2 linked regions of the Struthio camelus genome follow. The main gene of each other region encodes a partner of the protein of the gene in region 2 in a complex. Links are inferred from orthologs where the notes say so. Each region holds a gene or a part of one and is shown on either strand. Other genes may lie near its edges.

Evidence for each region.
Region 1: non-structural maintenance of chromosomes element 1 homolog (region 2) and NSMCE2 share a complex: the UniProt entries of both Homo sapiens proteins name them as parts of the SMC5-SMC6 complex. The link is inferred for Struthio camelus from reciprocal best matches to the Homo sapiens genes NSMCE1 and NSMCE2.

The regions. Positions count from the first base shown.
Region 1 is NC_090943.1:160,975,561-160,990,954, reverse strand, and holds the start of NSMCE2 (E3 SUMO-protein ligase NSE2), read right to left. Parts: upstream 7,909-15,394; 5' UTR 7,765-7,908; intron 7,597-7,764; exon of another isoform or gene 7,460-7,596; intron 6,764-7,459; 5' UTR 6,588-6,763; coding exon 6,519-6,587; intron 4,652-6,518; coding exon 4,504-4,651; intron 1-4,503. Other genes in the region: WASHC5 (WASH complex subunit 5), read left to right, coding at 9,425-9,610, 11,828-11,973, 13,033-13,117, 13,432-13,532, 14,449-14,641. UniProt on the Homo sapiens protein: E3 SUMO-protein ligase component of the SMC5-SMC6 complex, a complex involved in DNA double-strand break repair by homologous recombination. Is not be required for the stability of the complex.
Region 2 is NC_090956.1:384,859-400,188, reverse strand, and holds the start of non-structural maintenance of chromosomes element 1 homolog, read right to left. Parts: upstream 5,663-15,330; 5' UTR 5,523-5,662; exon of another isoform or gene 5,518-5,522; intron 4,707-5,517; exon of another isoform or gene 4,606-4,706; intron 4,536-4,605; 5' UTR 4,431-4,535; exon of another isoform or gene 4,126-4,430; intron 3,705-4,125; 5' UTR 3,679-3,704; coding exon 3,561-3,678; intron 1-3,560. Other genes in the region: IL4R (interleukin-4 receptor subunit alpha), read left to right, coding at 10,729-10,798, 14,609-14,750. UniProt on the Homo sapiens protein: RING-type zinc finger-containing E3 ubiquitin ligase that assembles with melanoma antigen protein (MAGE) to catalyze the direct transfer of ubiquitin from E2 ubiquitin-conjugating enzyme to a specific substrate.

The sequences.
Region 1 (15,394 bases), on a different chromosome or scaffold from region 2:
ACTAGATTCTGTCCTACATTTCAAAATAACAGGAAGATATCATCAGAGTTTATAAATCTTTAGACCTTCAAATCATTTGAACTGCAATTTATACCAGTGAAACCGATTCCCTCACTTTTATTGCAGTCCAATATTTACTGCAGAGCTAAAACATTTAATTATTTGATTGAATCCTTCCTCCTCCATCATTTTCTCTAATACTTGTAGGTATTCCTGCAAATAACTGCGTCCAGTGAGATATTTTATCTTTCCAGAACAGAGTCAAACGCCATAAAGAAAAATACCAGCAGCTCTGAGCACAGTTAACGCTCAGGAGAAAAAACAAAGAACGAACCCCAAACCTGACAGCCATAAGTATCCAAACTAAAAGACTCATTTGTTATTGCCAGAAAGTCACTGCCTCATGCAAGTTAACTGTGAAGAGCACAAGTGTTCATTTTTAATACAATGAATATATATTTATTCCATATCCAAAGCCCAGTATACATAACTACAGCAGCACAGCCATCAATGGTAGCATCAGTATATACACTGGGTTGCAGCAATGCCATCTTTACTCAGAAATAGTTAAATTCTCGTCTTTAAGCAGGACTGCAGCGAGTCAATAAGCGTATGCCAGCTAACTAAAACAAATTAAGATGCTGAGAGATAGCGTAGTCTCAGTTCAGTGACAGGCACTCTCCACATGAAATCACTGTTTAAAGGAAAAGCCAACGTTTCACTCAGTTCTGAAACTTTCAAGCATTATATCAAAATAAAGGTGTGAAAGATCTATTGTGCTATTTATTCATGAATAAGCAGTTTAATCTGATGTCCCTGAACTCAAATAAGTACCTATCCTCTCTGGTCAGTCTCTGTTGCTTCATTTAGACAAAGGAAAATTATTTTGCTCTTTTGGATTATTACATATTTACAGCATGTTTTTAAACAGCAGTCATTATTCACTCAAAAGATTGTTTTATTTCAGTAGTGGTATAAGTAATCATTATCTACCTCACAGAGAGCTGAGAGGCTTAACCAGTGTTTGCAAAGCATCTGAGATCACCTGAAGAAAGGTAAGGATGAAGTACTAGCAAGATTACTATAAATCACTGAATACCCTGAGCCAATTCCTGCCCACAGGTCTAGCACCTCTTCCTATCAGCAGCTCTCTGGCAGCATGATCTAACAAGTGGTTTCACTCCCTCTTCATTCCATGTAACACTACCACCATCTGTTTAAATAGCATAAATTCACAATCATTCTGAATGGTTTTTAATAACTTCCCTAACCAGTGTAATAGTTCTTTGCTCTCTGGATGATTCAACTGGAGAGGATTACCGGCTACTCACAGCCAGATCAACAGTCACAGCAAAAAAGCCAGTTTCTTTCCTATGCATTTGTAACTTTACGGAAGTACCGCTTACTTCCTGTCTTCTCCTGCCCCCTAGTGAGCTTTGATTTTCTCTCCACCTGAAGAGTCATGTAGTTGCTTTATAGCTTAGATGCATACAAAAGCGCTGAAACACTGAACTGTTTCAGATTTACATCCGTTAGAAGTGTACTCCATATCCTTTTCCACTAAGCATGTCAGAAACCAAAGATGATCTTTCTAGCTTGAGAGTTGCTAATATGCACTAAGTGATTTTACTTAACAGGGAAACACCCTCAAAATTGGCATACCATAAAAGCACGTTAAGCCTATCAAAGACAACTTACATTTGTTAATTTATATTTCTTAGCTTTCAAGCTTAGAGGTTTGAAGTTAGAAAACCATACACAGGTTCTTTCATGAATGACTGCTTACTCTTAAAAAAGTATGGCATTTGCTGCCTAGACTTCTATAGAAAGCAGCTTGAATACAACATCAGAGCAAACCCACTACTATACCTAAGAAAGTCAGGAACAGTAATTCAGTTAGACCTTCATAAAAAGAAAAAAAAGTCTACTTTAGTATCAGGTAGGTTTATGGGAGGTACCTCCACGCTACTGCCTTAACCAGTAGCCAGCCCAGCAATACTACTTGGTACGATTTAATAAATATGCTTAACATTGAAAGTTTTCAGGATTGAGCTCTTAGAGGAGAGCACTTAAGAGAAGAAACCAATACCACTTATTATGCTAACTTTATCTGCCCTTCCAGCTATTTACCTCCAGATGTAAATGCAACTTCTTTCACGTACTTCCTGAGAAAATTTTATCTCAGTATTATTCCCAAAAAGCAGAGTTGTCAAATATATGAACCCCAGACCTAAGAAAGTCCAAAGGAAACAAATACCTTCCCAGAAAGAGTGCTTGGTGAAGAAAGTTATTACTTTATAATCACAATATAATTCTTTGCTACTACAAAGCCTGGCAACAAAACCTGTCAGCAGCCAGATGATCTTTTGAAAGAAAGAAGAAAAAACTGCAAATGGGACAGCAACAAGAACGCAGCAGCATATAACCTAAGGCTGGCTCAAAATTGAATGAATACTTTGCATTGGAACAGGAAGGCAAAGTAGAATAGATGGGTAATAATTCTACAGATACAGAAACTGCCACATATGAGTTGGAGGTAAGAATTAAACAGTCAAGTCAGGCAGATTCAACAATCCTGATTCTAAAACACTATAAAAAACAAAAATATAGTGTTTAGCAAAAATAGATCTTGCCACAGAAACCCTGTATCTTTCCCGATGGCATTTATATGGAACAAAACAACTTGAATTCTAAGTTGAACATATGAAGATGACATTTAAGCGGTCAGTGGAGTGAAAAACCAAACCTTAAAATGAAAGGTAAGGGAGCTTTGCTCATTTGGCTAGAAAAACAAAAAACAAACAAAAGAAACCCCCAAAAGTGATAGAATTGTTATATGTACACATGTATTTACATCAGCAAGGAAAAAAACAGAGGTGGTGTGAAAGAGAACTACTTTAAATAAAGCGTCAACAAGGTAATACCAGACCAAATTGAGAGGAACTGTAACGTCTTTACGCAACAAATAATAGCCTGGAATACCTTTTCTGTAGATCAAGGGAACACTATGTAAAAGATGTGGTGCTTCATAGTTTACAGTCATGATTCCACAAGGAAGATTCTCATGCCAAAATAAAATCAGTTCTATGAAATAACTTAGCCATTAGCACTGACCATAGAAATTTCAAGAGTGATCTCCTCTCTTGATAGGACACTAAATATGGCCCATTTGGTTACTGAAAAGTCAAAATAATTTGGAGGTTATAATTAAAATGAATATGCCAGAAGTTGGTAAGTGAGGAAGATAACAAAATTATCTAGAAGCATATGGCACACACCTTCAGCCGCAAACCTTCATAGAGGAGTTTGAGTTGCCTTCCGCCTTTCAAAATGTGAATGGCAACAGGGACTTGATTTGACTTCTGCTGAAAGGTGAAATTAATCACAGCTTTTAGCTTTTGTTGCCAATAACTACCTTCTGTGGCTCATTCTGAGGTCTTGGGATTACCGGAATTCAGTACAGTCAGCAAATTTCCATGTATCACTTACGGCAAAGTAGGACAGATGGTAACTTCAAATGCAGAGAGGAAACAGAACTGGTTATACCAGTTTTACTGCAAAGGAAATTCCCAGCTGACTGTTTAGATAAGCTTTCCGTCTCCTCTACCACTTTTGAAAAGGGGCATCAATTACCTCTGACAGTAATATGGATAAAAAGGTCGGAGAGAGAGAGTATACAAACAGAAAATTTCATTCTGATTTTATATAGAGTTTGGCTTAGTTGAGAGCAAGACAGCAATTATGTTGTTTTAGAGGACTCTCAGTCTCCACTCATAATTAAAACTATCATTTAGGGCTTTGGAGCTTGGAAGGTTTAATTTTTTCCTAGAGAAAACTTTACAGTAGATCCAAGAGTTGTAGCAATAGGAGGCCAAATACTTGTCTTTGAAAAGCAATTCTGCAATGCACCTGTTGCTGTAAAACAGCAATGACAAGACTGTCAGAAGTGATTACAGATTTAGAGTACTTCTGTTTGCAAGTGTCCAAACTGAAGCACCCTAAATCAGCCTAATTTTCAGCAGGAAAAGAGACACTATTCAGAAAAATTACATCTCTTGCACATGTCTCAATTTTTGTACTCAAAATCAATAGTATTATTTTAACGTATCTTGCCCTAAACATTAAATAAAACACACACAAAGTAGCAGTGTTAGAACGAAAAGTCATTTTATTCACCCGCTTAAAAGGCTTTGTCCATCCGTTTCAGCACTGTTAAAGTTTCTACAAGGCTGTAAGATAACAAACACTGGAATGCAATTAGTCTTTTAAAAGTGTTACAAAAGCCGGGACAATGTTACTTGGTGTTTATACTTTCACTGAATTTATCACTTAAGACAGTGAAGTGATTGGAATGGTAACACTCTGAACTATCCAGAAGAGCTGCTGTTTCTATGATGAAGTAGATATTGACTGTAACTAAGTCAAAATACGTAGGCCTAGGACCCATCTGTAAAGTTCAGGAAGCAATATAAGCAAGATAATATACTCAAAGGAATTACTTACTGAGACTTTCCACAAGGTCAAGGGCAACACGAGTAGCAATATCCATTCCAGTGTTAATGTAAGACTGGCAGTTTTTCAAAGATGAAAGAGAAGAATCCACACAGTTGAATGAGATTGTTGCACCCCCTGGCATCTTGAAACCATTAGTCTAGAAATAACAGATATAACATTCTGAATGCAGTTTACACACAGCGCATTTGGAAGAGAAAACAGAAGTACAGATAGCTAAACACAGAGCTGTAACAGGGCTCCTCAAACATCAGAGAACAGGGATGAAATCTCAGCTCCCAAAATGTCAGAGAAAGTTCAGTCAGTGGCACGAGTAGAAATGTGATTCACTAGAGGATTTCAACCCCCCCTCCTATTCAACACTAATCAAAACTACACCACAAACAGCAGCTTGCAGTTTTTCATCTTCTCATTCCTATTGCTATAGCACAGTGAGACCGAAATACTCAAGGATTATGTTAGCTTGAAAGTTTCTGCTCTATTTCAGCTCCAAAGAAAGAGTACCCAAAAACTTGTCTGTTTTCTAGATATATTTGCAATTAGGCTAGTAAGAATATGACTTCTTCCATCAAATTGAGCCTCACCCAATTACAAGCCTGTTTCAACAAACAGCCAGCCCTCAGAAAAAGAAGAAAAAAAAAATCAAATAAATGGTAACTGTTCTAAGAATGTATTTAGCAGAAAGTTACCTAATACTATTTCTTAAGTAAAAGCCTACCTTACAAATGTTAAGAATTTCCATCAAAGATGTCACAAATTTAGTTTATATTACCAATATTCTATTGGAACAGAACACTAAATCACACAAGACTCATGTCTGTGCTCTTTACCACCTTTACTTCCTTTCCACTACAGACCAACATCCTTGCTAGGACTAACTCCTTTTCCTCTGTCATTAACATGACCTTCAAGTAGCATTGCTTACACTGTCCCTATAACTTGAATCAATCATACTTTCCACATCAGTCGGTGGTCTCTTCTCAGAAGTTCCATCTTCTGCTCTTCCTTTTTTGTTCTCTGCTATAATTTGCCTAGACAACATGTAGCTAGTAAAAGACACATGTTGAATGCTGAATTTTATACTTCAAGTTGCAGGAAGTTAGAAAAATTCTGGTCAGCTTTAGGCAAACAATTGATTATAAAAAACAAAAGTCTTAAATAGATAGAAATACTGCATTAGGCCTTGTAAACAATAACTGGTATTATCAGGGACTATATTGAGACTATACTGGGGAGGGGAGAAATGAAATCCAAAACCAAAATTGGGGTACATCCCAAGTTAGATGCATCTAGTATGCAGAGTAACAAGGAGATGAGTCATTCTATGGATTACTCCCTTTCACAGGCTATAATCCAACAGAAATCAGGATAGTATCTAAATAGAAAGCACAAAACTTTATATCCGAGGCTCTGTCTCACATTTACTACTTTACCTGGGATTCCAGAACTATGTCTTACACTCATCCTAATCTGCACAGCACTGCAATCTTCCACATGAATGTCAGGCAGATTACGAGACTGGAATTTCTCCTGCCACCTTCTTTCCTCTCTTACAGTTTTTTTTTCCCTATTTTTTTCTTCTTTCTCTTTAAAAAATGTGCTTGGCCACTCAAGACTATCTTTTATGACACTGTTCTGAGGACACGAGCTTACAACAGCCTTTTAGCAACACAGCTGTTCAAGTTCATGACAACTTGAACTTCTAAAATGTATATGAGCAGCTTTCCTCTCTCTCTCTCTCTCTCTCTCTCCCCGCTGCTAAAGGTGCATCTTGTCATAAAGGAGGCTGCAATCTTCAATAGCTCCAGCTCATCTCTTCTCCTAATCTCCCCACCAAAATACAGCAATTGCTATCTAAAATACCATTTAAGAGACTGGTGATCTGATAACAGAAGACAAGGAAAAAGTTTCTTAGAGAACTTCTTGAAAGTAATGGAAAGGGATGCTCTTAAAGCTTAATTTAATAACAAATGCTTTAGGCTGTTACACTAAATTTTTTAACCTACTTTTTTAAAGCAGCTGTTTGCCATTTCACCAAGAGTGTTTATACTGAACCTCGGTAATGCAAACTTCATACACTGTTAAGTCACGTAAATGCATATTAGCGCTTTTATCCTTCTGGGCCCATTCAGTGTATCAAAATTAACAGAGAGAACCTAATTCACTTCTTGAACTTGGTAAATCTCATTCATTGAGCAAGTCTGCTGTTCTTTTGGAAATTTCAAACACACACACTGTGAAAGACAGGAATCTGAAAAAAAAATAACAATGAAAAGTTAAAAAGGCTTCTTCCTTCTTCTGAAACATGGGGGAACACCGAGTATACAGGAACTGAAGTTACGTACAACACTAAATCATACCATCACATTGGTAGCTTCATCACAATTTGTGTTTTGGCAGATAATTTAAGTACCCATAGACAGACTCTTTTTTTTTAAACAAAAGCTTAAACTTGATAGAAATAGTTGATGACCCCAAGCACAGACTTCCTTTTCAATTTTTTTAAAGTTAATTCTTCAAGTGTAACTTACAGCTGGAAGCTGTTCATGCTGCCTTTAGAGGAAAGGGCAACTTCCTCAGTGGAACAGGGTTTTGAGCAGTTTCTTTAAGGCACTCTCTTTTGCCATGAAGGTCTTCACTGGGTGCATCAATGAAGCACTTAAGCTTGCAACCCCCACCCTTCATCTTCTGGGAAATACAATGAGCAAAACCAAGATTCATAAAGGAGAGCCAAGTGAGACTGGCTGGTCAGTTTTTTCTTTCAACAATAAAATAGAAGACCGCAAAGCAGAAGCCCTAAAAGGTTAAAGTTTCAATTTTGCCACCAATTTTTAAGATTCGAGCAAACGACCTAACTTCCCTTTGCTCTATTCTTCCAAACTTTGAAAAGGAGACAAAACGCAAGATCTACAGCTGATCAGGGCTCATTAATAGTATCGATCTCTACCTCCTACAACGGTCACTGTGCCACGGAGACGCTACTTCGCCGCCGCAGAGCTGGGGACAAGAGCCCTGGGGGCAGGGAGCCCCGCTCTGCCAGCCGCCCGCCTCGCAGCCCCAACACCCGCCGAGCCGCCCCGTGCCAGCCGCGCACGGGCCGGGGCAGCGGCCCCCGGGCCCACCCCGCCGGGCAGGAGGCTGCCCGGAGAACAGGGCCGCGCAGGCCCTCCCTCGCACTCCGCGCCCTGCCGGAGGAGGAGGAGGAAGGGGGGGGCGGCCGAAGCGGGCCCCTCCGCAGCCGCAGCCGCTCACCTAGTCCCAGCCGCCGCGGCCCTCAAGGGGCTCCTCTCAGAGGCGGCCCCCGCGCCGACCCTCTACGGCGGCAGCCGCGCTCGGCCGCGGGCAGGCGGGACAGGCCGCCGGCGGAACCGCCTCATCAGCCGGCGCCTCGGCACATGACGGCGCGCTGTCATGTGATGGGAGGGTTGGGCGCCGCCGCCGCCGCCGCCGCCTCCTCGCCGCTGCCTGCGTCTCACCTGCCGCGGCCGCTCCGCCGAGGGCTGCGCCTCGCCCGCCGTCCCCGCCCGCTCGCCCGTTGCCGGCGGAGCGGAGCAGCCTCCTCCGTCCGCCCTTCGCCGCCGCTCACCGCGTTAGCCGCGGGGACGGTAAGCGCCGCCGAGCGGGGGCGGCATCCCGGGGAGGTCGCGGCTGGCGCCGGAGCGGGGAGGCGAGAGCTTAGCCCGCGGCGGGGCTGAGCGGGGCCGGGCGGCCGCTGGTCTCGCGGCGCGGCCGTTCCTAGGGCGCGGGCGGCCGTTGGTCTCGCGGCGCGGCCGTTGCTCCAGGGCGGGGGTGGGGGGGGGGGGGAGGTTCAGACATTGAGGGGGGCCGTTGGCGTCTCGGAGGAGCCTGTCGAAAAGGGAGTTAAAACGGCGGCCTGTCCTCCTCGGTGAGGCTCGCCCGCGCTGGAAATGGCTTTTGTGCAACTTCAGGAGCTGTCTGCAGGCTCTCCCATATTTTTAACGTCCCATTCGGTCAAGAAATCACGCTGTGGCCTGATGAATCAGGTTACTGGAGGGGGATGAGATGTAAATTAAAGCCCGGTCCTGTTCACTTGGGTCTGGGAGCTGCGCGGGACTTTGCAGAGCAGAGCTTGTTGTGCTAGCGATGCTTTCCTCCATGCGTAGCAGGAAGACGAGGCTCCTGGTGTGCATTTTGAGACAGACTGGGATCGGAAAATGCCTCGTCAACTTAAATGTAACTCAGTGGTTTAGAAGGTTTTTGATAAAAAAAAAAAAAGTGAAGTCAGCTCATAACCTCCCATAAATGTTTCAGAATTAAAAAGCAGCTTATTTTTAGCCATGCTGCATTCCAGATCTTTCAGCAAAAAATGCCCATAAATAAAAATGTGGCCAGGAAATGCAACCACAGTACAAAAGCTCTCCCTTAAGCAATAAATAAAGCAGTGGAGCTATGTTCTTTCCATTTGCTATTGGATTCTCCCTTGTTCCAACATGCGTCTTGTACCGTACTAGTTTGTGCTTTCCTTGCTGCCGTCTGCTGCATGGCCTCAATTGCTTCAGTTTTTGTGATTGTTTCATTCTTTAATAGTTACCTTAAAATTTTCTAGTACAAAAGATCACACTATTATTTCTTGCCTGATCACACAGGTGACTGAGCCAAAACTGCATATATGTTGAAGGTAAATTCAGTCTGTTGTTTTCATTTGGACAAAACATGGAGCGTTTAGATTTCATAAAGCGTAAGATTTAATCGTGTGCTTAAAAAACCCTATAGAATAAATTATCAGAAGTATAACTATGAAACACTCAAAATGTGTATGTTTTTGTTTTTACAGGTACTATTAATGGAACAGCAACTTTTCTCATTAGACGTTCTTCTTCAAATAACCTGAAGACTAACATTCGGGAGCAGACTGCAGGACTGTTGCTACGCGGTCACATTCAGCTCCACAATGGTTGATTTTTTAGCTGAAAATAATCTTTGTGGTCAGGCCATTCTTAGGATTGTCTCCTGTGGAAATGCCATCATTGCAGAACTTCTGAGACTTTCTGAATTTATTCCTGGTGTTTTCAGGCTCAAGGACAAGGCTGATCAACAGAAGTATGGGGATATCATATTCGATTTCAGTTATTTTAAGGTAAATCCTTTTCTTTTATTGTGAAACTTCTCTTCAAAGTATCGTTGTCCGGGTGAGCCTAAGGGTGTTTCACTAAGGGCGAAAGCCTAAGGGTGTTAATGTCCTCACAAGTGTGGAAACAGTTACTGTTATGTTAGTTGCTAACGTTCATCGGAATTGACTAAGATAATTTCCTGTTTACTCAGTATTTACCAAAAATGCACCAAACTAAGATACTAAATGGGATGTGCTCGCATACTAGCACTCCTCTTCTGGGCTGTCTTGTGTTTATACGCTTCTGATGGTACTCAGCCTGACCTTATTTATTTCACTGAGCAGAAGCAGACTAGTGAAGATTGTGTGCTTAGCTCCCTAAGCAGAATAGAAGTACAACCACTACCTGCACTGAGCTTTAGGGCAGGAAATGGGACAGCTTTAAATACATACATACAAAAGCAGTCCCTGATACAGCTTTGAAAATGTTTGATGAGTCATCTGGCCTTGAGTTTCAAAGAAGACTGATTATATGACATTTGAGTATTGGATTTGGGGGGGTTTTAATTACTGTTTCCTGAGTAAACTTAAAATTGCATTTTCACCAGCAAGCTCTGAGCCTAAGCACTTGGTTGTTTTTCTGTGGCACAGTATGCCTGTCTTCCTTTGGTTATCTGTAGCCTTTTCTTTGCAGCCATACAAACGGCTTTATGCTTTCCTGTTTGACAGTACTGTGATTGTTCATTCATGGTGCTTGTCCATGAGCACTGAATCAACAGATAAATTAAAGAGTAGCGTCCGTGAAAAGGTCTCATTTTTCTTACAGAACTAAGATTCTTGCAGTACTTTTTTCCCCTCTGTCATTCTCTAGCATGATTTGCAAGGAACTCTACAGATGATGTAATTTGACTTTCTCCATTTAGATTGTACAATAAAAGAGACGTTACTGTTTCAGCAACATTTAAGGGGGCTGGAGTTTTTTTGTGGATCTTTTTTGCATTGCAAATTCTGAGTACTTTGGGCTCGGAAAATCCTGAGCACAGGTGATCTCCCAATTACCTTTAGATGTAGATTTTTTTACAAGCCTTTTTTATACAAATACCTCTTTGCTCTTACATTGTCAAGTTGTAACTGGCCAGAAATACATTTATTCTGGAAGATTCCTGAATGTTTAAGAAGCAAGATACTGCTGTTGCTTTTCAGCCTAATTGCAACAAAATCAATAAAAGACATGCTTGTAAACCAGGCTTTCATGAATTTACAGATATTAACACCATGAGCACTCCATTCCTGCAATCATGATGCTTAAAATCAGGTGATGAGATTTGAGATTTTGAAAATCAGTCCATTTACTTTGTGCATTTAAGCTTCATAGTCAGTTTGGGGCCTGCTTTTATGCTTTGTTTCACGTGGCCATTTCATAGAAAAAAAGAAATAGAAGAGCATTTTTAAAACCACTAAGAAGTTGTCAGCCAGGTGTTAGACTTGACATTTAATTTTTAAGCCTATTTTAAGTGATTTTTATGGAGTTCCTGTTCACAAAATCCTTTTAAGTCGTGATCTCATGCCATGTAAGTGTTCTGTGGAATGATGTTTAATAACAGTTTCAGTTAACTGTTAGTGATAGGACTGAAAGGTGGTGAGTTGACAGCAGCAAATGGTTAAAACAGTTTGAACCATTTCTTTCAGAAAGTCAGGCTCGTCTTCCTCTCCCCTTGTTCCCACACAGTTGTTAATTACACGGTTTCTGTGCCAGTTTTGGGGACTAGCACAGACCTAGGTCTAGAATTTGTCAAAACTCTCACGTAGGTTTAATACTTGCAAGGAGTTTAAATGTATGAGAAGGTACAAAGCTGACAACTTATCTGTGAGGCCTTCATGTTCTGGATTCTGTTTGAGAAATCAAACAGATCAAATGTGTAAAGGAAAAAGTTCCAGAAAGGAGATAGCTGCCATTAAAAAGAGTCCGTGGTAAAGCACATGGTGGTTTCAGATGCGTCAGAATTTTACCCAAAGTGTTATCGTATTGATAATCATAGATTGTAGCAAAATGTAGAATTCATCATTATGGGATCACCGTTTAATCATGAAGTAGCTTGGAAAACTGCAGGTGCCTTATTTTAGTAATAACAGTTAATTCTGTCATTACATACATGCTAGTGGTCATGTATATTCTTTGTCCTACTGAAGACTGTCACAGACACAATCAAATATTGTCTCTTAAATATGAATTTTCTTTCTTAGGGGCCTGAGGCGTGTGAAGGCAAGCTGGAAGCCAAGCCTGAGTTACTGGATTTAGATGAAGAATTTCGTGAAAACAACATTGAAATTTTGACAAGATTTTATCTAGCTTTTCAGAGTGTTCATAAATACATTGTAGATTTAAACAGGTATAGTTTTTTAATGATATTTAGAGTTTCTTAAAGACTACAGTACTGTTTAATCTTAATGATTGGAAACTTTTTCCTTGGAGACTCAGTGCTTGCCCTTGAATCGTGTTCGTATGCACTGGGAAACCTGGCTTGCTGGACTGGGCACTAACTTTTACTCTTGTTGTTGCATACCAGCTTAATCTACGACCTGAAAACATTTAACATCTCTACTTTATTTCCATAAACGTAAGCTAGAGCTAATTCTTCTTTATCTGAGAGATTGTCCTGAAGATTTATGAATGAAAAGAAACTCCGTATTATTGAACAGAATCAGATAGTATTTTTTCTTTAACTTTCATTGGTATTGTTTTCCTAAATTTAATTTTTCAGTGGAGTTACCATAGTCTCAAGTTTGTTACTCTTGTCAAAACGGTAGGAAAGGTTTATGAAAAAACCTTAAGGAAGAGGTGCAAGAGAGTGTGAAGTCTAAGAATTGCTTTTGTTGTTGATTTTAGGTAAAAAGCTTGAGCTCATTGTGGTAATAAGCAGTTTACTAGAAAACCCTGTAATAAGAAGAAATCATCTGTTAATCAAGATGAAATATTTTATTTATAGCTCTGCCTTTCAAACTGCAATTAAGATAAATTTAAGGTATTTCCCGTAGCTGTTGTTGGAGATAATCTGAGAATATGATAGTTTTACTAAATTTTAAGGAGGAAAAAAAAGCTTTTCCTTTCCAGGACTACTTTGTTCTCAGGCTGTGTCCTGCCATGCGAAGGTTAAGAGATTGATTTGTTAGCTGTTAAGTTACAGAGTTCCTTCGGTATCTTTCCCATACAGCATTAGCAAATTGAAGGAGGATTTGCCAGCTGGTTGACCCTAGCTACGAGTTCCAGCCTCTCATTTCATATTAGAGTATCTGTTCTTTGTTGTGTGTAAAACCTGTGTGTGCTGCTTGCGCTGGACGAGTGATTGACGTGTCTGCTGACTTTGCGTGAAAATTGGCCAGTTGATTTCTGGGGACGCATGCTTTAAGAGCAAAATAGTCAATGACCAATTTTTTGGTATGATTCCTAGGTATTTAGATGACCTCAATGAAGGAATTTACATTCAGCAAACATTAGAAACTGTCCTCCTCAATGAAGATGGAAAACAGCTTCTGGTAAGTACTCAAGAGTTTTGTAATAGTAGAAAATGAACCAACGAGTTTAATTCCAGATATATTTTGGCGTCTATTTTGTTTACATCTAGTCTCAAGAATGGACAAAGGTTTAAACTTACCACATACATTGAAATGCTATGGCTCAATCTGAGGCAGTCAAAGCCCCAAAGTCTACAGCCCTGCCATTTTTTCATACTATATTGACTATATACATAGTTTGCATTGTGTTAGTTTGTCACCACTTGTTTGTCTTCAGATGTTGCTACAAAACTGCATTAATTTGATTTCTTTCTGATTGTTTTTTTCCTTAACAGTGTGAAGCACTCTATTTATATGGAGTCATGCTATTGGTCATTGACCAGAAGATTGAAGGAGAGGTCAGAGAAAGAATGTTGGTTTCCTACTACAGATACAGGTAATGTGGATTGGTATTCAGAAGAACTCAAAAGCTGAAAGAGTGTAACATGCAGTATGTTCAGTTAACTCATTGAATTAAGATAAACAGAAATATTGGTACCGTTTTGACCGTTTGGTCCATACGGATAGACCCTTATAAATCTGCATCATTGTCTGAATGTCAGTAGAGCTCCTTGCATTAGCTGCTTTTGCACATCTGGCTGCAAAACTTGGGCCACAGATTTCTCATGCTGTCACAACAGAGATTTGAAAGCCACTGACAAATAAACTTTCGCATGAAGCTACAAGTATCTGCTTTGAAAGCATCAGATATTCCCAAATGTTGGAGCAAATCTCTGAAAAGTCCCGAGCATCTAGACAGTCAAACCTCTTGTAGTCAGAGAGCTTGATTAGTCAAACTGATAACGAGATTTCCAGGGCAGGCTGTCAGCACTGCTTTATCACAGCTAGAATCGCCGAGAATATCGGTGCAAACTCTTTCACAAATAATGCAACTAAAAAAGGGAGCACCCTGTACGTGTTTTGGCTGTGCTTATGGCTGTCAAGTGTGTAATGACAAAGGATTCCTTAACTCTGAAATACAGGAATGGAGCAAGAAGGGGAATTCAGAAAAGGTGGGGCATGGACAAATGAACCTCTTCTGAATGCAACTGTAGTCGTTTCTGTCCCTGAACAACGTTTTCTTGGATTTGTTTGTTTGTGTTTTGTACGCTTATCCGGGATTCCAGTATGGGCACTTGTCAGTGTCCTTCTGTAATATGGTGAAAATTATGTTCAGGAAGTAAGCATACAAAAGTCTCCCAAACCTTACTATCTGATTACTTTCTTGGAGACAAAGGCAGGGTTAGGAGGAAAAGGAGAGGAGGAAATAGTCAGGTCGTACAGCTTAATTTTTTTTTCCTTTTTGAAAACAGCGCAGCCCGATCCTCTGCTGATTCCAATTTAGATGATATTTGTAAACTGCTTCGAAGCACTGGGTACTCGAGCCAGCCTGGAGCTAAAAGGCCTCCAAACTACCCTGAGAGTTACTTCAGCAGGGTACCCATAAGTGAAACGTTCATCAGCATGGTTATTGGCCGCTTACGATCAGATGACATTTATAACCAGGTAAGTTAGCGTGAGACAGAAGAGGAATCTAAAATTGAGTATCAAATGGTTTCTTGGGTAAATTACTCAACTGTGAAGCCTAGAAAAAAATAAATGATTGGCGACTTTTATTAACTCTCATCAATTCCTTCAAAGATTCTCATTGTTCTAGTTACTGAAAAGAGATTGATCATCCCTTAAGAGGCAATGTGACTAAAAAGAAGCACTAATATTACTATTCTTATCTATGACAATTGGATGAATAAAGAATAAAAATTGAAAGAAAGTATGTTCAGAGATTACTCTTTGAACTCTATAGTCTCTTCTATATGACCTCTTTGGAAATGAGCTTCAACAAAGCATTTACTTTTGAGCAGGGTTCTTTCTTTAGGGTGGCCCAAACGATCTTATTTCTATAATTAATGGCACACCTCTAGTGAAGCCTGGATAGCTGAAAACATTTACAGACGCTAAAAAAACAGCATCTCAAGATCAGTGAATCACGTAAGAAATAAACAAATGCAAGAGCATTAATTTAAAAGGACCCTATCGAAAACACTTTCAAACTATAGACAGACATGTTAACTTATACGAGGAAAAGTGCTTCTGTAGACACTGTACCATGTTTATGGTAATAATTTTTTAAGCTGTGCAAAAAGTTCTGCAAACAAAAAATGAAAACTTTTTTGGCAAGTTGTGAAGAAGCTAATTTTATGACATAATGTATGGTACTGATAAGGAATAGCGAAGTGTTAGAGTGCTCTTTTAAAGTAC
Region 2 (15,330 bases):
ACCCTTCTGGCCTTAAAGACTGTGGCAAAGAAAATGCTTGTGAATGCCAACACCTTTGGAAAGTAAAATGCTGGCCCACCAAAATAAGTAATATTGTTATATTTCGCAGAATCACAGAATAGTTGGGGTTGGAAGGGACCTCTGGAGATCATCTGGGTCCAAAACGCCTGATAAGGAAGGGGCAGCTAGAGCACGTTGCCCAGGACCGTGCCCAGACATGTTTTGAGTATCTCCGTGGATGGAGGCTCCACAACCTCTCCAGGCAACCCATTCCAGTGTTCAACCCCCCTCGCAGTGAAGAAGTGTTTTCTTATGCTCAGATGCAATTTCCTGTGTTTCAATTTGTTTAAATACTTGTCAAATGAAAATGTGCTGAATCAAAGAAAAAATAGATCAGCTGGAGAATCTGTCAAGAGATTCCCCAGATAAAGAGGAAAGCACATGACTCTCAGTATTTACTCCATAAGCTGCGGAAAAAGCAGTGCTATTACAGAGAAAAATGTGTTTTCCAAAGGAGAGGCACAATTTTTCCAGTTGTACTATTTAGAGGTGCAAACCCATAGCTCCAGTTATTAAAGAACTACAGCTGGCTTGGAAGACAGCAGGAAAAATAACTGCAAACTCTCCTTTTTCTACTACATTTTCCTCTTGGAGGCTGGGGACAGGATCATATTCATTTTTCACACATTCCCTTCCCACAGAGAACGTCCTGTGAAAGGATCCAACATCCAGCACAGATGACTGCAAAGGCAAGGAAAAGGTGCTCAGCAATCACACACAAAGACAACACATAAAGCCACCCACAAAAACGATGCTGAGAACATCATGGTACCTCAGCTATATGTAACATTGGAATACTGTGAAATGTCTCTAGCTTTGCACTTAAAATTTTACTGTAACGCGTTTCATAACTGGAGAAGCCGTAACACACTGCAGACGGAAAAAAACGTGCATTTAACAGATTCCAGTAAATATAATAACACTCTTCCTGAACAATCTTGCAATTTGTATCCTAACTCAATTGCACATTTTCTAGTGGTCCTATGCAGCATTTTGATAGATGTTTGGAGTTTTTCCTTCAGAGATCTGTGCAGATTTTAGTATAGGTACTGCTAACAGCAAGCATACATGTGATGCACAAACGATAGGACGGTGTCTCCTGGCCAAAAGTCTTGTGATTTTGAAATAAAACAGGACAAGAGAACGTGCTAAATACCAGGAGGGAAAACGGTCAGATCGCTTTGCTCAGAGGCTACACAGACGGGTTACTTTATGACTTGACTTCATTAGACAAAGCTTTTTTATTCTTTTATATTCAAGGAAACCATCATCACAAATAGATAACAGCCTTGTTATACAACACTTACAATCTGCAGGGGAAAGGAATTAATTCAGCTATGCTGTTTTAGGTACATTAGCTTTGGTGCGACTAGAAACGTGTTATTCAGATTGCACAGAGCGTTATTAAGATGTATTTGAAGAAACTACATCAAAAACAGAATTTCTAGAAACAGTACAAACAGGCTGAGTTTCCTCATAAAAACATTACTAACAATATCATAACTGACAAGATCATGGTGACTTTGCCCTAATAAGGATGGTCTGTCAACTCATTTTTTTTATTCCTAAGAAGTGTAAAGATGCATTAAAAAAAAAAAAGTTCCATTCAATGAGTCAAGTTCAACATCCCTTTGTCCCCCAACATGACACACAGCCTTCCTAGGTAGATCATTTAATAAAATTGTGACACTTAAAAACTCCCACACTGTATCTGAATAGTTTCACAAATTTTTCCGTTATGCTGTCGCCACACTGACGAAATAGGAAGTACTGGTAGGCAGCAGTTGCAAGGGAGCTATTTTTAAAAAACTCTTCCTAATAAATAATCCTTTCTATGAATGTTACTTTATCGGCTCTTACTGCATCCTGCATTCTTATAGCTCACTGATCCTACATACTACAGGATCTAGCTGTACAGTTTTTCTCTTAAGACTCTTTTTAGGAAACACATAACAAACTGGTTATAGCCAAGCTGTTGGTTTAGGCCATTTACCAAATGTATTTACCAAACATTTATTTTTACAAGAAGCTGTGACTTGGTTTGCACAAATACAGGAGTAAACTAGTGAAGAGCAACAGTATTTTTCTGGTCAGGAATTTGTCATATCATTTTTCTAGTCAGGAATTTCCATTTTTCAGTCAGGAATTTGCACAGGTGCTGAAATAAGTTCTTCTGCCTCAGCAGTTTGAATAAACCTGTGGAATCTGCTTGACGCATTTTAACTAAGGAAAATATGTAGGTAGTAGGGTCTTCCAAAAAGGACTCTGAAGTCTTGAGTTCACAAGTGATTGTATCAGTGACTACAGTCTCTACTCTCTTAACAGGGGAAAAGAACAGTTGGCAACAGCAACGCTGAAGTTATCATCACTGCTGACCGCTTCACTAACAAACGGAATAGTTCAGTTCCCCTGCAATTATTGGTTCAGCTCTCAACAAACTCACATAAACAGGGTGAACTAACCAAAACCCTCAAATATAACTGTTAAGATTTTTAAATCTTAAATACTAGAGAATAACTTGAGACATACAGCCAGTGCACATCACTTCTTACAATGTGGAATTTAAGCAACATATTTTCTGGAGTTATCCAGCTTTCAACAGTAATTTGTTAAAATTACTACTTTGAACAGCATTTGGACATTTCCCTTCAAATGGCAATTTCTTTTTACACGTTCCTTGTCCTCTTTAATTTTGTTCATAAATATGGAAAAGATGAAAATATGGGAATTTTATTCTTTTCACTGTTTTCTGGGAAACAGCAATTGAGATTTAATTTTTTATTTTGTCACACTATGTAATTTACAGCTAAAACCTACTGATTAATTAGCGCTAAATGCATTACTCATTTCAGGTTTATTTCAGTTTGTGCCACCACATTTTCAAAATTAGTGAAGATATATACCTACATATAGTAAGTATATCTCTCCGAAAAAATCATAACCGAGTTGATTACACATTTCTGTAGTATTTTTGTTCAATCAGGAACTTCAAACAGATTTGAAAGTATACAATCCATTTTCAGTTCTAAGTGCCATAAAATTCAGCTTGTTATATCAGGACCATCTAACTGAACATGTAATTAGTCAGGTGACAGATTTACTCCAGATGGATGCATTGTATAACAGCATATACTTCATAGTATAATCCAAAGGAAATTCTTCCACAGAAGTATAAAGGAAAACATTCCGGAGACTTAAACGCTATCCTTGGCAAGAATGACTAAAATTATAATATGTAACCAAAAAAAAAAGTCTCTGCTAAAATAGAAAATGAGAGTTTGCGCTGTATGGATCTGAATGGACTAAAACTTCTTCCTTTAGGTTGTTTTATTTTTTTCTTTTAGGAAAGAAAGGAGAGAGGACACACACGTCATTAAAATGTTTAACATTTTTTTGATGGTGTATGCTTTTAAAAAAAATCTAACGATTTGTAAACTGCATCAGAAAAAAGTGTTCTCCCATCTTAGTCTCAACACTTTTTCTCGGAAAGAGAGACAAACCTTTATGGATTTCGCAGCAATGCCTGTGTAACTTCCTAGCCTCTGATCCTTCCATTATCCCATGAGACATCAGGACCTGCAAGAACCGTCGATGACCATCAGTCATCTGAACTGCCATTGCAATATTCCACCAGGCTTCAAATGCTGAAAAGAGGGTAAACTAGAATTAATACACATGTTCATGCAAGTTAAAAATATAAACTCCAAATCTATATAAGATTTTCAATTTCTAATTTAAAAAAAAAAAAAAAGAACAAATCAGTGAGCTAAAAAATTGAATCAGGGTAAAGACCAGAAGATCCCCCAGCTTGATCTCCAAAGACAGACATTGACTAGCTGCAAGGCTCTATGAGAAGAATGCAAAAGACAAACTCTAACTGATTTGACCTAACGCTTTCAGTTACAGAATAAAATAACGTAGACATTGTGCCATCATACCCCCCCAAAACAAAATAATACTGTTACATCTATTACAGTCAACAGAACATCTTCCACAGTTTTGTGTTAAATACTTCTGTTTAGTACATACCCAAATAACTTGTCTAATAATTACAGCGTAACTTACTTTGGACAGAAAATCCTCCCCTATATGTTGTGAAGAACGTCAGAACTAAATAAAAGCATTTCAAGAAATTCTTTGACCACTCCAGCCAAATAATCCCAAAAGATGTAAGAAGCTTCCACAGTCCTCCAAATCAAAGGACCAACTAAAGGACCAAATGGAGAAACACAGTTTTGTGCCAAGATTTTGAAATCTCACGCTTTCACTGCGCGCTGGAGGCAGATTTCTGTTTCTAACAAGGACTACAAAGAGTCGGGGAAGGTGCTTGGAGGATCAGAGTGTGACACGCTGCTCTTCAGCGCTCCCACCTTTCTAGATGTAAATACCCAGGGGCTTCCCAAGCTCTGGAGATTACTGTTATGCAGGAGGTACCAACGCAGGCTTGATGTTAGTTAAAATACCCTGGGAAGCAGCTAGAAGGAAAACATCATAAGTTTTACTTAATTCACTGGCAACTTTCTTTCAAAGACAAAACTCACACACCTACCAACAGTCCCCGCTCGGAGCCAGGAGCGCTGCAGCCTCCGCGGCAGCAACACGCTGGAGAGCTGGGGGAGCCGGGGGGAGCTCAGGGGAGTGGGGGGGGGAACTAGGGAGGGGGAGCCGGGGGGGGGACTAGGGAGGGGGAGCCGGGGGGGGGGAACTAGGGAGGGGGAGCCGGGGGGGGGGGAACTAGGGAGGGGGAGCCGGGGGGGGGGGGAACTAGGGAGGGGGAGCCGGGGGGGGGGAACTAGGGAGGGGGAGCCGGGGGGGGGGGGAACTAGGGAGGGGGAGCCGGGGGGGGGGAACTAGGGAGGGGGAGCCGGGGGGGGGGAACTAGGGAGGGGGAGCCGGGGGGGGGAACTAGGGAGGGGGAGCCGGGGGGGGGGGAACTAGGGAGGGGGAGCCGGGGGGGGGGAACTAGGGAGGGGGAGCCGGGGGGGGGGAACTAGGGAGGGGGAGCCGGGGGGGGGGAACTAGGGAGGGGGAGCCGGGGGGGGGGAACTAGGGAGGGGGAGCCGGGGGGGGGGGAGCCGGAGGGGGAACTAGGGAGAGGGAGTTGGGGGGGAACTAGGGGGAGCCGGGGGGAGCTCGGGGGGGGGCCGGGGGGGGCCGGGGGGGGCCGGGGGGGGGCCGGGGGGAGCTCGGGGGGGGGGGAGCCGAGGGGAGCTCGGCGGGGGGGAGCCGAGGGGAGCTCGGGGGAGGCCGGGGGGAGCCCGGGGACCTCGCGCACGGAGGCCTGGTGCTTCCCCCCGCGAAAAAACTTCGCAAAAACCGCCCCCGCCCCGCCCCCACGCCACACCGCCCGCGCCGCCGCCCCCGCCGCCCCCCCCCAACGGCTCCCCGCCGCCCCCACGGCCACATCGCCGCCCCGGCCCCGGCCCCGCCGCCCCACGGCCATACCGCCGCCCCCACCTCACCCCGCGGGCCTGCGGCGCCGCGACCCTCCCGCACTCGACGATTCGGTGATCGCGGCAGCCGCCTGCCATCGACCGACTCGGCCACCGCCCAGGACTGCCCGCCCCGCCCCCTGGCGCAGAGGCCCCGCCCCCCGAGCGCCGCGCTGGGGCGGGGGCGGGGCCGGATCCGGGCGGCGGCCGCAATCGCCAGCGCGGCCAGAGGGCGTCGGGGGTCGCGTCAGCGTCCGGTGGGACCGGCTTGAGCCGCCTCGGCCGCCGCCGGCCGCGCACGGCTCCGCGCGCCCCGGCCGCCTGCGCGCCCCGGCCCGCGGCAGGACGCTGTCGCCGCGCCGGGCTGCCCGCGGCGGGAGCCGCCTGGGACGAGTGAGTTTCAGCGGCCGCGTCGCGTGGGTCGGGCCGGGCGGGGGGCGGCGGCGGCGGCGGCGGCGGTGGTGGCGGTGGTGGCGGTGGTGGTGGCGGCGGCGGGGGGGCCGGGGCCGGGCCGGGCGGGGGGCGGCGGTGGCGGCGGTGGCGGGGGGGCCGGGCCGGGCCGGGCCGGGGCGGTGGCGGGGGGGCCGGGCCGGGGCGGCGGGGGCCCGTTCGCCGGTGTGGGAACCGAAGCGCTTCTCCTTCTCTTCCCGCTGCGGCCCCGCTCGCCGGGGGCGGGAGGCGCGAGCGCGCGGGAGCGCCGAGGCTGCCGCCCCCCGCCGGTGGGGTCACGCTCCGAGCCCCGGCCTCCTCCCTTAAAAACTTCTCCCAGCGCGCGCCGTGCCGGGCGGAGGTCGCTTTGTGACAGACGGAGCTTGCGTTTCTGAACCTCTGGCTCTGGGCGGCTGTTCCAGTCGCTGTAGTCCAGGCCCTTTGCGGACCGGCCTTTTTTCGAGATGTTCAAATTCAGCAGTTTCTGTAGGTTCTATTGGGTCTAAGTTAGAAAATCTCTGAAGTTATCTGGCTGCTGGCAGGCCATGATTTTGCAGTTTGGCAAACTCTGTGAAAGTACTGTATTCATTATAGGCCCAAACAGCACGTCATTATGCCTTTTGCTTTCTTCCATCATCTCAACAGGGAATATATTCAAATACAGACACTCCAGCTTAAGTCATAAATGCAAACTGACAAGTTTCAAGCTGTCTAGGGAGAACTCATCCATGCATTTTGAGAGGCTGTTCTCTCGCTTACAAGGCAGGCTTTATCCAGATGTGCACTGTGCTGGAAATGCAGATCTCGTTTGTATGCCTCTGAACTTGCACTGGATAGGGAGTGTAAAATGTCATTAACAGTAAGCACCCCAAACTAGATGGAGGACTTTATGCAATGAGGATGGCATTAAAATATTAGTGCAGTTATTCACTTATAAAATAAAAGATCTCTTGTTCCTTTAAAATTTGTCATTTTGAAATGAAATTCTTTCCGTAGCCATGTAGTAATATGTGTACGTTGAGATAAAAAACAGGACCCTATGAGATAAAAAACAGGACAAAGCCTCCCCTCTAAAGAGTCCCTAATCTAAGGGCCTGATTCTGGGTCTGATTTTCTGCTACTCCACCCTTTCCAACCCAGCAGTCAAGGCAAGTAGAGACAGCGCTAACACAGTGCCATATTAATCAGATGGTAAAGAAGCATGAAAAAGGAGCATAAGGGAATAGTTTTCTGTTTAGTTTAGATAATGCCAAGTGGGACCTGTTAAATTTAATCATTTGGCCCTTTGTTCACCAGTGTTGCCATCCTTCCTTACCAAAACTCCAAAGTATCTTCTAGCTTCGCCTTCATCAAAACTTCCTCCTTTATGCACCGTACAAGACTCTCTCCTTAGTGTCCAATTTCTTCTGAAAACTTAATTGGGCTTATTCTAAGACACCCACGCTTCTTACAGTAGGTATACCTTGTGTGGTTGCCTCTGACAGTCATATTGCATATCAGAGTAGGTTTTATGAGATATATTCCTGTAGGTCTACCATTTTGTGTTGGCACTTAGGAAAAAAATCAATAAAAATAGTAGTGATAATACAGGAGAAAAATTATCTCCTAGCTTTTTTCTTTTCAAATGTTGATATAAAATCAGTTGACTAATAATGCAATCATGCTTTGTTTTGTACTGCTTATCTGATTTTAGTCTGCAGTTATAGCAGATTTTTTAAATCCAGAAGAATAAGACAAGTTGTTCTTTAAAATTAAAATCCCAGTTTTGAAACGGTAAGTGGTCCTCTAACTGCACAATTTCAGCAAAGGTAGATTAAGGAATTTTAGGTAAAAGTAACCATCATTTGTCTTTTGTGCATGAGTTACCCTTTGAGCATAACAGTTTTGCAGATTATATCTGTAGATTAACTGTGACCCAAATTTATTTAAAAGTCTAGGCTAGAAAATATTTTTTTTCCTCAAGATTAAATGAAATCTGTTCAATTACATCTTTATTTTTTTTAAAAGATAGGAATAATCAGGTGATTTAAGCATATGACTTGGGCCAGTAATCACATAGAGCTACTTGATGGATTGCTTTCATAGATTTGGGAAAGTCACGTAGGCTTTCGGTGCTTTATTTTTTTTTTCAAACATGCAGTGTTACATTAATAATTCTTGGGATTACCAGGTTACTGAGAACTTAATATTCTGTATATCTTATATACTTTATTAAGTTTAATATATATACTTATACACTGTATTAAGCATGTTTATATAACATTTATATACTTATGTACTTTAAGTTTAAAAGTTTAATATTTCATTATTCAATATTAAGAAAAACTTAAGACCCTACAGGTGGGAAAGCTATTGTCATTTTTAAATTTTCTCCCTAACCCTTGGTATTGGTTTTATAATCCACTACTCTTATTTTAAAAAAAAAAAAAAAAGTTTGCTTTTCATTAGAGCTGTGGATTAAATCCACTTTCATCCAACTGTCCCAAACTACTTTTTTCATACGGGAGATAGATTTTTGCTCTGTAGTCTGCTGATTCATACATGCTTTTGTGATATAGGTTTATTTGGCAAAAGTTTTCAGAATTTCTTGGAACTGCAGTCATGAGACACTATTTCTCAGCAATGGACTTGAAAAGCAAGCATTTCCTCTCTTGAGAATGCCAGTAAAAAAGAGGAGGAGAAAGATTTTGTTTGCTGGAGCACTTTGCTCCTTTTTTTTTCTTTTTCCCTAAGCTGCAAAAAGGCATTTGTGTTCTTTTCAAAAATTTTATTAGTGTGCTCAATCACATTTTGTCTGTTCCAAAAGTGAAAAACTCAGCTTTTGAGTAATAGTTTTCCTGAGTGTTTATGAGAAATTCATTGTTAAAGTATGCCTTTTGATGAGCAGTAACTGCTTCCTGTAAGGTCCCAAAACAGTTTCCTTTCTAATCTATTTGCACTCACAATTTTCTTATTTCTAAAATAATTGTTTATTATTTCTTAGCTTCTAAGGTTGAAATTTTCCATGTTTAATCTTTAGAAGCTTATTTTAAAGAACGGTCAATCATGTGTGTGAGAATAGAAGAAATAAGTGGCAATTTGGATAACGAGGTTTGGAGCAGAGTCTGACTTATGCTGAAGTAAAGATACACTATAAAAGAAGTGCTAGTTCTGTTAAATGTATTGTAGAAATTAAGATTCTATTGCTACGTTTTGTTTTAATTCATGTAGATAAATTAATCAATAAAAGGCATGGGCTTCTTTATTTAAAAAAAAAAAAAAAAGTAATTTTTCTGTCTGTGGCTTACTCAGCTGGGAAAGATTCCGACTGTTGTCCACACTGTGTTTATGTTAATTGACAGCAAATATTCAGCAGCTGTTCTTGAGAGTCTTGCCAGTTTTTGAGAGGTGGTATTTGAAGGAATATGGCTTCAGTAGCATGCATCTGTGGCTACATGCTCTTATGTGTATACAGTGCCCACATGCATATTTCCAAAACGGCATTAAATTCTTCCGAAGCTAATCGCTTAAGGAGTTTATACCACAACAAAATTACTGATCCCTCAGCCAATTCCTTTAGTCTGGCCATTCTCAAATCTGGTAGAAGTGTCAAGGGTTGTTCTACTTTTGTAGTTAGGTTAGTAGCAGAGGGTACTCAGCCACCAGCAACGAATATGTTTTTTTGGTTTCTTCTACCTCAAAATCTAACAGAACTTCTGCAGAAAGCCAAAAGCTTGTCTCCTACTAGAAGAGATCTTCTGAGAGTTTCTCTCCTCTTTACTCAGTCACACAAAGGGAATCGGGAAGTTCTGGAATCGCAAATACCATGCCACCTGGGAGCTCTGCAGATGTAAGCAGAGCAGCTGCAGCATGCAGGTAGTAAGTGTGAGAACACTGCGTCCAGACTCGGAGTTTAGAAAATACCAAGAGCATAAGAGGAAGGGGAAAAAAGGGTTCTGTGTCAACAGATGATGTGTTTTTGAACAAGATTTATCCCTGTTTATGCTGAATGCAAAGTCACGGTCACCCCATATTAGTGAGCATGACTATACATACAAATTTACCTAGTTATCAAATACTCACACCATATGCATTTCTAGCGATGTGCAAGCTGGTAGCCACATCTAATCCAGAATAAGATCTTCTACCAAATAGCTACTTTGTGTCTTCTTGTAAAATCTTGGAGCAAAAATGCTGTTCGGAGTTCTTAAAGGGATTATTTCATGAACTTCATAGTGAAGTTCGTTCATGAACTTCGCTATGCTTCAAGAATTGTAATATATAAAAGCTGCATAATTTTCCTTTTCTGAAGTTGTGCTGGATGGTCTCATATCATGGCTATGTATATGTTTTACAACTTCTACTTGAGTTATTGTTTTAATAAATGTGCATTCTGTTGGCATTCTGTGCAAGGGTCTTTACTCAAAACTTTTTAAAGAGGTTGGTAGTTCTCAGTATCTAGGGTAACGGTGATAAGACTGTGAAATTATATTACAGTCAACAGCTCAGGCACTTCGTGCTTAAATTACTTCATTTATCTGAGTGGAATCATATGGCTCTGATGGCATATTGACTGTTAATGAATTGTTTTGGTCCAGTGCTTACTCTTTTAATATCTTGGGTACAAACAGCATCTCTTGTGTTAGTACCTGAAAAGGGTAGGTGCACAGCAGGTGTCAATCTAATATCCTCTGTAACTAAATTTTTACAGAAGTCTTCTAACTCATTTGTATCACCCTTATTCTCCTACAGTTCTCGTTGTTCCATGAACAATCTTTAGGAGGATCAGGCACCGCAGAGGATCTTAATCCTGACATCTAGCACAGTGATGGCAAGAATCTCACGTGCTGCACTGCGTACCCTGTGGATCCTTTTCTTTTCATATGCAACAAATGAAAGTACGTTTGTCAATGTTTTCAATTGTTACACTGTAGTTGTCGACAGTACCTTACCATGAGCAGGAATAACTAGTAGATGATATTATTACTACCATTAATTGACTAGAATAAAATGCGTAACTACATGTATCAGAGATATTCATGTATTACAATAAATTCTCAAATCTTTTCTTTTTACTGACCTTTTCTGTATTAGCACTAAGAAATAGGAATTTGCAAGAAGCAGAAACAGAGGTTTGGAAAGTCATCTGTCTGCTTCCGCATTATCTAATCTATATTGGACATCTTGCTGCAAACAGGATTCTCTGCAATGACCCAGGAGCATCTCTGTAAACATCCCGTGAGGGTGGAAAGCCCACTAGTCTCGCATTTGCTTATTTTCATAACTGCCACTATCCATGGTGTGGGCCAAAAAGGAGCCATCAGCAATAGACATTGAGGGAGCTGTGCTCATAAACCGGAGGGTGAACGTATAGACCTACAGTCAAAAGGCAGCTGTCAGCGTGCGTTCTCCAAAGTGCGTAGAGTTACTAAGTTAGAAAACTTAGTTGACTGGATTTGAACAAGTTTTGCAAGCACTCACTGTAAGGCGTTGCATATTGTTACTGGTGCTATTATACAGGGACAGATGACTGACGTGTAGTGAAGAGCACGCAGGGCATCACATCTTTTGGTCTAGCAAGATGTATATTCGCATTAAGCCTTAGCGCTGCTAGTCATTTAATGGTTATTTTCTGAAGTTCACTTGGCAGGAGCTGAATATGAAAAAAAATTTTCCTGATATCTTTTCTGATATTTCATTATAATAAGAAGTTAGATTTATAAAATCTTATCTTCCAGGAACATGCCTTTATTCTCTGGGAAATCAGTTTATATTTCCTTTTCATAGTTTTTAAGTAGCTACACAATAGTCTGCTTTTTCTTTTCTCTTTTTAAGAAAAGCATACCAAAACAGTAAAAAACAAAACAAGAATAACTTATCCCTTTAAAAAAAAAAAAAAAAGGTTATTAGCTACTTCCTTATGTACTATGAGTTCAGACATGCTGCTGATGATGCTGGAGGGAATTTTGCAATTTGAATTAGAGTGATCAAGCTTTGTAAGTGCACATTGTCTGGGTCATTTGATCTAGGTGGTCCTAGATTTTCTATAAATTATCAAGGTTTATAATTTCACAGATTTCTTTTTCCTGGTTTCAATTTTTTAAGTTTCTTCATCACGTTATTCTTGCTGAGGATGAAAAAAGAAGTCCAGTATTTCAGTTCCCTTTTTCAAGTACATGAACTGAAAACAAACTTTGTACTGCATGTGGTTTCAAAAGGAAATTTTCAAATATCTGAGGTTTACAAAAATGTCATACCAGAGATGGAAAAGGGAAAAGGTCACAGGAAAAGAATACAGAGAATAATTTACAATGCAGGAAAGACATGAGGACACTAAAAGGCAAGATAAAACTGCAAGTCCTTATAGCTTAGCACACCAGGAAGAGCTTCATTATAATTCAAGGGGTGTTGAAAGTGTAAGATCATTAACACACGGAAAAATAGTAAAGTCCATCTTTAAAGGGCTTTAAAGTAGTTCTTTTAAAAGTCCATCTTCAAGTGGAAAAATAATAAAAATGAACGGTAAAAATATAAATAGCAACACAAAAATAAACAACAGTAACAAGATAAATAGATAACAGTTCTTTTAAAATAAATGAGCCGTGTGGCTATTAGAGTATTGCAGAAGTTAAAGATTAAACTTGCTGTTCTTCTGATGGTTTTTCTTTTTTTGTTGTTTTTTTGAAGGATCACAGGAGTGCAGGACAAAAGGGAACTAAATGTGGTGCTGTCATTCAGGAAGTAATTAAGAGTGCTTGTTTTTACCTACAAGATCAATATCTATCCTTAGCAGCTAAAATAGAACAAGACACTGTTTACATATGTGAACAATAATGAAACTGTGAGCTACAGGTACTTCTAGGTTTATAGCCAGCCAATATACCGGAAAAATTAGATTATGATTCTTACAGAACTTTAAAATGATTCCTTGAAATTGCGCTACATTTTCATTGGCGTAAATGAGCCCCACTAAGTTTATTGAGATTACTCAAGTGATCCAGGGTTGCTTGGTAATCGAGTTTTGTGGGAGGCCTTTTAAAAAGAGAAGTGAAAGTGATAGGTGGTAGTACCAAAGAGACAGTATTAAACAATAAACTCTTTGGATCAGTTTTCTAATGAAGTTACACTAGGCCTGGTGGTAGATCCAATTGTATTTAACACGTCATTATGACCAGCATGTTTATCTACAGATGCAGATATCAAAGTATGCAGAAGTTATTTTAGGAAAAAAAAAGATACAAAGGGACCACAGAAAAAGAATAGTAGGAATAGTGAAACATGGTATTTTTGACAATAAAAATTCTTGCATGGGAGGAATAATCTGAAATATGGACGCTCATTGGGATGAAGACGACTGCAAAGCCCCAGTGGCTAAAGGATGTGAATCAGTGGCAAATTAGTCTTGAATTTGCAATATAAATGACAAGAATGAAGTTAGTGATGTGCTGGGCTGTGTGAACTGAATTATTTGCTTACTATACAGAAATGAAAGCATGTCTTTATATGGCCCTTATATAACTGCAGGAGGAATACTTCTAGCAGAATCTCTTAGGACACTCACATTCAGAAAAATATCAATAAATAGGATGCTAACAACCAACCAAAGCTATTATAAATTTTTGTGGGGAACTGAGATGTAGAGCAGGAGAGAAATAATTAGAGCTGCAAGAAAAGGGAGATACTGTAAATATTTACAAATATCTGAAAGGTCAAACGCTGAAGAAGGGAAAGAACTATCCAGCAAGATAAAAGTATTATTTCTGACAGCTTTATTTAGAAATGATCACATTTCAGTACCACAGGTTTGGCACACTGTTAATCCTAATAGCAGCACGATCTTAATGTCACATAACTGCTTCTGCTCCTTGTTCCACTATGCAGTGCATATTAAAACAATGGGAAAATGGGGTTGGAAGGGATACTGAGGGTTGGGTTTTCCATTTCTCTTTCCAGTTCTGTCAAAGCTGTTTTGACCAATGTTTTCTTAGTTGTTCTTAAACACTACCTGTAAAAGAGATAGCAAATGCTAATAACATTGGAGTACAAGGATTTAGGGCTTTTCCATGCCCTCTCAATGCCCAGGACAAGGTGACTCTGAATCTGATCAGAACTCTGAATGTTATCACAAGAAAGAAAAATACAAAGCATAACGGGAAATACTGAATGAAATTAAGAAAAGCATATACTAGACAAAAATCTGTGACAGGGAGATCCTGTATGCAACAGGGAACTGCTTGAGGGAGACAGAGGGCCATTCACACAGGAGGCTTGGAACCAGAGTAGATAAAGCACAGAGATCTTGGTCTCGCTCTGTTCATCGTCTGCATTTTGTTTTTTGAACTGTGTGTATTTAACACATGGGATGATGCTGTTTTATAATTAAAAGTTGGTGTATTTTAGGTAGAGCTCATCAAAATCAGATTTTCTGTGCTTAGAAGTCTGTCTGTATTAGATGAGTTGTGCTTTTCTATTACAATATTTCTACTGCAGACCTTCTTCAAGAGCACAGAGGTGGTCTTCACCTTTCTGGAGACGTTTGCTGTCACACACCTCTTTCCGTTTACCCAGAACATGAGAAATGGCTGTGCTTTCACTTCCCTTACAAGGGGTTAATCATTCTGTTTAGAGGAAAAGATTTTATGTTCCTGCTTAGTCTTAATTTATTCTTTTGATCCTCTTGTTTCTTACTGTGTGCTGCTTCTCCCTAGTTATGGCTACAGGACATGTACAGGAGTTTGCATGCTTCACTGACTATGCTGAAGAACTGGTTTGTCACTGGAAGGTGCCCACACAGACAAACTGCTCCGAAGCTTTCCTGCTCTATTATAGGAAGGAATTTTTGTCGCTGAAGTAAGTGTTTAATAAAGCATTCCATTATCATTTTTGGACCTTCAAATATGCTATAGTCAGCTTTGATTTCCTCCCCCTGCCACAGGAGCCTAGGACAAAATGGAATCAGGATTTTTCTTCTTGACAAGAGGAAAAATGGAACGCTGCTATAAACAGCATGCTCTATTCAGTGGCGCGCTCTTCTGCAGACCTCTTCGCACTTAGTACAGAGGAGTGATCAAGTATTACTTGTGGGAGTGCTAGGGCTCATAAGTTTTTCTAACCTTCATTTCAGGAAAATGTTTACCTCCTTCAGGAGAAACTTACTTAATTTACCTGTCTGTAGCCTGTGTAAGAGGAACCCTTGCCTAGAGTCCAGGTGAACTTCTCTGCATGCAGCATAACTCCTTGTTCATACCCAGACTGTTTGCCCCTGTTCTGCAGCAGAGGGAGTCTTCCTGTCAGTCCTACAGAGGAAGACACATCTGGGCTCTTCCTCTTCCTTTCTGTATGATTTCTCCACAGAGACATCCAAATAACCTTGTATTTTTACAATGTAGTAAACCTGTTTCCATACTAACAGGTCATTAATCTACTCTTT